2 linked regions of the Kluyveromyces lactis genome follow. The protein of the gene in region 2 binds, or shares a complex with, the protein of the main gene of each other region. Links are inferred from orthologs where the notes say so. Each region holds a gene or a part of one and is shown on either strand. Other genes may lie near its edges. The genes, in order: ORC5 and ORC1.

The links.
Region 1: ORC1 (region 2) and ORC5 share a complex: the UniProt entries of both Saccharomyces cerevisiae proteins name them as parts of the origin recognition complex. The link is inferred for Kluyveromyces lactis from reciprocal best matches to the Saccharomyces cerevisiae genes ORC1 and ORC5.

Annotation. Positions count from the first base shown.
Region 1 is NC_006039.1:234,674-238,132, forward strand, and holds ORC5 (origin recognition complex subunit 5), read left to right. Parts: upstream 1-1,368; coding exon 1,369-2,790; downstream 2,791-3,459. Other genes in the region: POL2 (DNA polymerase epsilon catalytic subunit), read left to right, coding at 1-1,158; U5 snRNP complex subunit LIN1, read left to right, coding at 2,982-3,459. UniProt on the Saccharomyces cerevisiae protein: Component of the origin recognition complex (ORC) that binds origins of replication. It has a role in both chromosomal replication and mating type transcriptional silencing. Binds to the ARS consensus sequence (ACS) of origins of replication.
Region 2 is NC_006038.1:453,281-457,661, reverse strand, and holds ORC1 (origin recognition complex subunit 1), read right to left. Parts: upstream 2,946-4,381; coding exon 285-2,945; downstream 1-284. Other genes in the region: Ras family GTPase TEM1, read left to right, coding at 1-54; ECM7 (Ecm7p), read left to right, coding at 3,418-4,381. UniProt on the Saccharomyces cerevisiae protein: Component of the origin recognition complex (ORC) that binds origins of replication. It has a role in both chromosomal replication and mating type transcriptional silencing. Binds to the ARS consensus sequence (ACS) of origins of replication.

The sequences.
Region 1 (3,459 bases), on a different chromosome or scaffold from region 2:
ACTCTCACTCAAAAGGCCGTGTTACAGTTGATCAATGAATTTAAGCTGGCAGGATCATCTCTCATCTTCGCAGACAGAAACAAACTGTTAATCAAAACTCAGAAGCGTTCCGTTGAGAATTCTTACGCCTATGGGCAGTATCTCATGAAAGCGATCAGATCTAAACCAATGTTTGCCTATCTAGACTTGAAAATTGATAGATATTGGGATGTCCTGATTTGGATGGATAAGTATAATTATGGTGGTAGAGCATGTCTACAGATTGAAGATAAAGAAGTTCAGAGTTTCCAGGCTTATTCTCATTGGCATATAAAGGATTTCTTACCTGCAATTTATCAGCAAGAGTTTGATGATTGGTTAGTAGTCATACTGGATAGTATGGTTAAGACAAAGGAAGCCTATCATGAGCGAAATGCATCCACACAAAGATTAACCCAATTACCAAAGAATACACTGGCTGATAGTGACGTAGATAGTCAAACTGACTCTCTAGGCGGTTTTACCCATAATTTTTCAAAAGCTCTCATCAAAAGAGCAGAGAAACTTTACAAGAACCAACAGGAATATATTCTTGATCCTAACTTCGGCAAGGATTATCTATCTCCCACAATTCCTGGGTCGCATCTAGTTGTGAAAAATCCGCTTCTTGAGTTGGTCAAATACTTATCACATATTTTATCACTTTCCAGTAATCATTTATTAGAAGGAAGGGCGCTAAGGAAAGAACTCCTAAAGACATTTGAAATACGCGAATTCGACAGATTAGCTGAATTCAAGGATCCAAGTACATCTTTTGTGATCCCTAGCTTCATATGTGAGCATTGTTCTTATATATCAGATATTGATATTTGCAGAGAAAGTATGGAACGAGTCTTCATATGCCAGAGCTGCAACAGATCCTTGAATAAAAATCTCATTGAAGAGCATGTGATCGAACGACTTCAAGCCCAAGTTGCATCGTTTATTACCCAAGATGTTAAGTGCAATAAATGTCATAAGATCAAAGAGGATGCAATGTCACCTTATTGTCCATGTTCAGGAAAATGGGAACTTGCCGTATCTAAGGAATCTTTCATGGCACAGTTACAAATTTTCAAGAACTTGGCGGAAAGCTTTGACTTTAGAACATTGAAAGAAACTTTGAATGATTTCTTATAGGTTCAAGTCCCTGGCATCTGTTGTATTATCTTTTAGTCTGCTGATGTGTTTACATTTAACATTTATGAGTGTTTATGTGTTAAAATAGATCTGAAAATAAAAAATATATATACACATAAAGGAAATTGTTCTGAACTTAGCATGGTTGAATTCTTCCCACCTGAATGAAGACGCACTATGTGTTATTTACTGCGAATCAAGTGACCCAGAATGGTACGACCTGATGTTAGATATAGAGAAGAACAACTAGATTTTTTGGAAGCGTTTGTCGATGCCGATCCAAAACTGAGCCCGCCAATCTTGTTCATAGAAGGGCCGCATGGAAGTGGTAAGACACATACCCTCAAGAAGTTTTTTGCTTGCAATGAAGAAATCATGAACATTTTACTACCAGCGAAAGATCTGATATATAGCAAATCCACCTGTCAGCGGTTGGCTACATGTCTGCGTCAATTGCTACTGAAACAATTTCCTAGTGTGGAAACCACTGATCTTGATCCATTTGAAGCCGAGGACGTATATCTTTTGCAGAAATTTATCAATAAATTGTTTATCCGATTTAATCACTTGGTAGAACGCGTTAACCTTTATGTTATACTCGATGGGCTGGATGATAATTCACAGGTGAACTTGGAAACACCTACGCAACTCATGGCATTACCTGGATCTATTCTTCCACAAGCGATGATTCAACTTCGGTTAATAATCTCGTTCTCCAAATCCTCATTCTTGTCCAATTACTCAACGTTCAAGGTTCCCACGATCTTCTTCCCCAAATATAAACCACTGGAGATTGAATATATTGTATCACAAACACCAGGTTTCTCGGATGACCCGCTGTTATTGGAAAAAATGGATGAGATAGGATGCGGAAATACAGAACAATTCAGGAGTGAAATCTTCGAAAAATATATCCATTTCCTGATAGAATCATTAATTGTATATACAGGTTATGACCCCACTGCACTGATAGACATAATGAGAATTAAATGGAGGTGCTTTGTACGATCTTTAAATCAAGAGAACATTAAAAATACAGTACAGTTATACAAATCTAACCTGGAGCTATTCAATAAACCTAACGAAAGACTAATACCACAAACCAGCCGTTCGGATCAAAATTCACTAAGTGGTACCGGGTCTGTTGGTTATTCAAGCCATTCTCTTTGTTTCATGGCAAAATATCTTCTAATAGCCGCATATTTGGCATCATATTTGAATCATCGGTACGACTCTAAAGTCTTCTCCAAGAAGAGTCATCTAAGGGGGGGTAGATCATCTTATGGGAGAAGAAGCAAACCAGCGAATAACCCGAGATACCTTCAACCATCAGGCTTTTCTCTTGAGAGAATGCTGGCAATTTTCCAATCGATATACCCAGTCAGAGTTTCGAAGGAATTGTCTCCAGATTTCTTTCAAAGAGATGTTCATATGAAAGCAAATGTGGAAGTCTACGAAAACGTGTCCGAATTGATTACTTCTCAACTTCTTACCGGTCTGAACATGCACAAATTGGGGTATCTTCACGAAAGACTTAAGTTTAAAGTTAACGTCACTTGGGATTACATATTACTAGTGGCTGGCAGTGTTGATTTTGATATTTCAGAATATTTCAGTGATGTTGTGGAATAAACTCGGCATTTGTAGTAGTTATATGATTGTTGCATGCCGTTCTTTTTTTTTCGATCTCATTTTACTCTATGGAATGCTTCTTCAAATTTAGGTATTTTTTATAGACATTGAAATTGATACGTAGAGAGAAACAACCATAGATTCAGATATTTGACATACCAGCAAGCAGAAAGCAGCAGCTTTCATTGAGTATGAATGTAAATAAGGGATCATCTGATCAAAATGATAGATCTGTAATTACCAAATCTAAGGATAAGCTTCAGGTCAAAAAGACTGACTTCAACGCAGATAGCTATGACGATCACTTCGAGGAATCAGACTACCAGGACATTTCTTGCAGCGACGACAGTAGCGATAATGAAGAAGAAATAGAAGATTTCGTACGAAGAGGTCAAACCGAAACCGATGAAATCTTTGATGGAAATTCCTCAGAGATTTCAGAATCTGACAGCGCTGTTGCTGATGATTCAGTATCAGAAGAAGAAATAAATGGTAGTAACGTACAAATAGAAGCCTTCAACATGGAAGAAGAACTGAAAAATGGGACCGTAGACAAGGTAGGGAATGCTACGGGAAAAACTATAAATGATGATTTTGAAAATGAGGACCAATGGATCCAAGACTTTTCTTCGAAGGAGTCAATTAAAAGGGCAAGAGAAGCTCATGAAA
Region 2 (4,381 bases):
TCGCGACCTTCTTCTCCAAAAAGACAAGTGCATACCCCTCCGCCATCATCGTAAATCACCTACCTCCTATTACGTGATCAACGGTTTCATCTTGCCCGAAGCGGGAGGGTAAAGAATGAATAAACACGGTAAAATAGTAGTTAAAAAAATGCATCCTTTATTATATCTTTCTATCTTATAATTAAATAGTTGAAAAAGCAGTTTCATATTCTACTTAACCGCTACGCTACATGACAACCTAAGTAGCAATTATAATAGCAGCAAAGGCGTCTTGAAGGCATATACTAAAATGTCTTCAACATTTCATCTTCATGCAAGCATTGCTCCGCATCTTCCATGGAAATATTTAATTTGATCGTCGAGAGCCTCTCATTCTTCAAATATTGCCTTACTACAACACCTGCATCCAATAATTGCAATAAAATATAGTCCCAAGACACGGCCCTTAACTGTTCCTTTGTATCAACAGAATCATTTTGGAATAAAATCCGTTTCAACTCTAAAATGTATTTGTTATTCCCATTGACATCAATGAGGAGCCTCATTTCTTCTACGATATCACCAAGTTGTACGTCAGTTTGCTTCTTCTTAATTAAATTGATTAATGCGTATAGGAAAAGTTTTCCGCTAAATGACAGACCAGATATGAATTGTTGTTCCGGAGAGGTCGAACTTTCGTTTAATGCCTTGGTAATATGCTTAATTTCTACACTCTGTAATTCTTCATTTCCTGTACCATTGCCACTAGTATCTTTTTTGGAATTGACTAGTCGCTCATATCTAAGCCTCTTTAAGTAATCATTTTCCGCATATTCTACCGCTCTTTTGACCACCTTTAAAGCTCTCCGCACATCACCACTGACACTAGCAATTTTTCTTGATGCAATCTCAATGGCATCAGGATTAATCCTAAGTTTTAGTCGTTTATAGTTAGAGAAGTCTTTTCGCTTTTCTTCTTCATCAGTTTCTATAGTACTACTATCCGGAGAGATCATGTACGAACTCCCTGTCTCCGGGTCGACATAGAAACTAGATTCGTTCAAATATTTAAGTCTCAAATTGATGATTGTTCTAAGCTCTTCATGCGTGTAACCAGTGAACATAATTCTAGTAAAACCAATTCTGGACGAAATCTTGTTACCAAGATGGCGTTCGGGGAGATCTAAGGTGTTTGCGACAGCTACAACAATAAGTTTCGCATTTGAATAGGTAGCCCAGTTAAAGAAGTTGTACATTACATCTTGGCTCTTGCTAACTAATGCATCAAGCTCATCCAATAACACAACGATAGGACGTTTTTTCGTAGCTGGAACTTTGTTAAAATAAAACTCCAGAGATTCCATGGCAGCTCCAGATGTAAGCTTTTCTCCAGATATTTTTTGCCAAAAGACTTCATAACTATCACTTGCTTTGACAATCTTTAAACCATTGATTTCAATGTATTGGAATCTTGGAAGTTCTTTTTGGTCTGCAGATGTCATTAAATCCTTAACTACCTCTCGAACCGTCAAAGTTTTACCAACGCCTGGCGTCCCGGCAATGTAAATACTGGTGCTAGTGCCTGCTTCAATTGCACTGTAAAGTGAGAGGTATATACTTGCAAATTCATTTTCTCTTGCCGGAAGATAATTGTCGAAATCAGCAGCTTTGACAATTTCTTCTTTGCTATTCCTTGAGTTCAATTGCTTCTTCACCTTAGAAAAAATAGTCTCCATTTTGCCTTTAGCAGAAACTGTTCTGAATCTCTCCTCTAATGCAGCTATATCCAAATCATTATTATGCCTTTGGAAAATATCGTTCAAGTCAGGAATATCCTTCGGATTCTTATACCGTTTGGAAAATGGAGTATATGCCTTTTTAGCGCGCACTATATTATTCTTAAAGAACTTTCTAGGAGATGAATGAACTGCTGATGGCTGCAATGGAGTCTGTGATTTTACTGGTGAAATGGGTATATCTGGTTTAATAGATCTCACCTTTTTCTTGGCAGGTTCTACAATTGCAAGCTCTTCTGCAGACTGGTAATCTTCAAACTCTTCATCACTGTCCGAAGAGGATGCGTTTGCAAACTCTTCTTTACTTTCGTGATATTCAGATAAATCCGATTCATTATCTGATATAGCTTCCTTTTCGTTAACAATAGTAGATGCAATGCGTTGGACTTCAGCGTTGGTTTTGCTCACTGTTTGTTGAAAGCTTTTTTTGCTTGGTGTGTTGTCGGACTGCAATTTCGTCGCCACTACCTTCTCTCGTGCGTGGACCTTGGATTTATTTAAAGGTTTTGGAAGCTTGGGTAAAGTAATATCACGCAAATACTCCAGAGACACCTTAGGATTCGAGGAACGTATTTTTTCTTCAAAGAAATGTATATCTAAATCCGCCAGATTAGTTCCTGAAGGCAAGCATGCAGATCGACATAAAAACATATTAGAATCCATTTTCCCTTCATTGACAGAGTCTAAATACTCCTTTTCATTTTTAATATTAGCTACAAATTGCAAGTCCCGTAGATAAATCTCTGAAAGCTCAGCTGTCAAATACAATTCGTTCTTTATCGATTGTGACGCGAAGGTTTCCTCAAAAAATTTGTCACCTTTTTCCTTATTAGTCTCATAAAACTCTCCATCAAGCTGTTTATATCTTTCCGCAGCATTGATCTCGTACCAACTCAAATAGTTCAAACACCAGAGTTCTACGTAATTGCTTGTATTCAATCGCACCTCATGGATCATATACGCTGATAACTCGTCTGCACCCTCTACCTTGCACACAATCGTAACACCAGGATAAAGTCTGACTCCATCGTATCGTACCAAATTAATCACTTCATGTTCTGTAGCATCTCCTCTTCTTCTTCGCCTAGGAGTTTCAGCAATGAGATTCCCCTTCAAGTCTGTCTTCTGTATTTCCCATTGAACTTCAAACTCAGCTAACGTTGACGCCATGCCTAATAAACTCGCTACCACGGAATAAAAAGGAAAAATAATCAGATAACCGTTAAAATGCAGTAATTCCTTCCTAAACTAGTAGTAGTTACTTGCTGGCCAAGTATGTTGAAATGACAGCTACCTGTTTCCGTAGCATTCTTTTATCTCATAGCATATTGGTTGTTACACGGTTCCTCTGTTTACTGAATTAAGATCGATCTTGAAACATCAAATACGTGTAAAATGATACATAGTTTTCCCATTCCTGACGTCTAATTTTAAACCTTGAACCCTGGCAGAAACAGATCAAGAGATTTATCTCAAGAGTGATGACATGATAAACAGAATGAATTCTGCCAGTCAATTAACGAAGGTGAAGCAGATAAACACAGAAGAATAAAGGCAGCTGGCCTGCTGGAAAAAAAATTGAACAATTTCCCACGTTGATAGAGTCATACATAAGAAGCTTTTAGGAGCTTTATAAAAAGAAATGAGGTTTGGAAGTGTCTTGGCGAGGAATATATCGTTATGGAAATACTTAAAAGTGACCCTAGGACACCTCAACGCATTTGATAAGATGATGTTATGGCTGCGAGTTATAACTTCAGTGGGAATTATCGTTTTTGTCCTTGTTTTGACTGCTATTTCTGCCGCATCACCAAATTCGTTATATTTAGGACGATTGGACACTTCAAATGTTAACATTTTGCAGGGACTATTTGATAAGCTCAGCAGTTCTGTTGTCAGTGCAAAACTGTCTGATATTAATAACGGAGCAGGACTCACAACAGCAGAGATTCTTTTACTCACGCGGTATGTAGACTCACAGGTCCACGACGTGCCCGATTATATAAAGACAGGAGTTTACGGATGGTGCAGCATGAAACATGCTTCTCAAGAATTATGGCAGCCTGACGGTACTTGGAAGGAGGAACATAACTCTACAAAGGCTATGACTTGTCACAGGGAAGGAGCGCAATACTTATTGAACTATAGAAAGCTATTAGATGACCTAGGTTTGGGAATAGTGTTAAGTTACGCATACGGATATACTTACAACGATGGTGTTTTGGATCACGACAATGCAGAAAGTGCAAAATACAACAAATTTTTGGCTGCTTTGTCGAGAAGAAAAGTCAACATGGTCAATCTACTTTACGTCGTGGCAGTATTGGAAGTTTTCATATTGGGATCGATTGTCTTGTACTACATGATCAGGAATAGACCTGAACAAACCATGAAAACCAAAATCCTCCTGCATTCTATATCACTAATGAAACTATTGGTGTTTATTTGCTCTTTAGTAGCAGTCATAAACTTTACTATACTATCAATCAACATTCGTCAAAAGATTTCGAACGAACTTGATTCGTTTGGGTTTTCATATCATCTTGGAACTGGTTGGTTCACATGCTTGTGGATCTTTGCATTTTTCAATATTATATCGTGTCTCG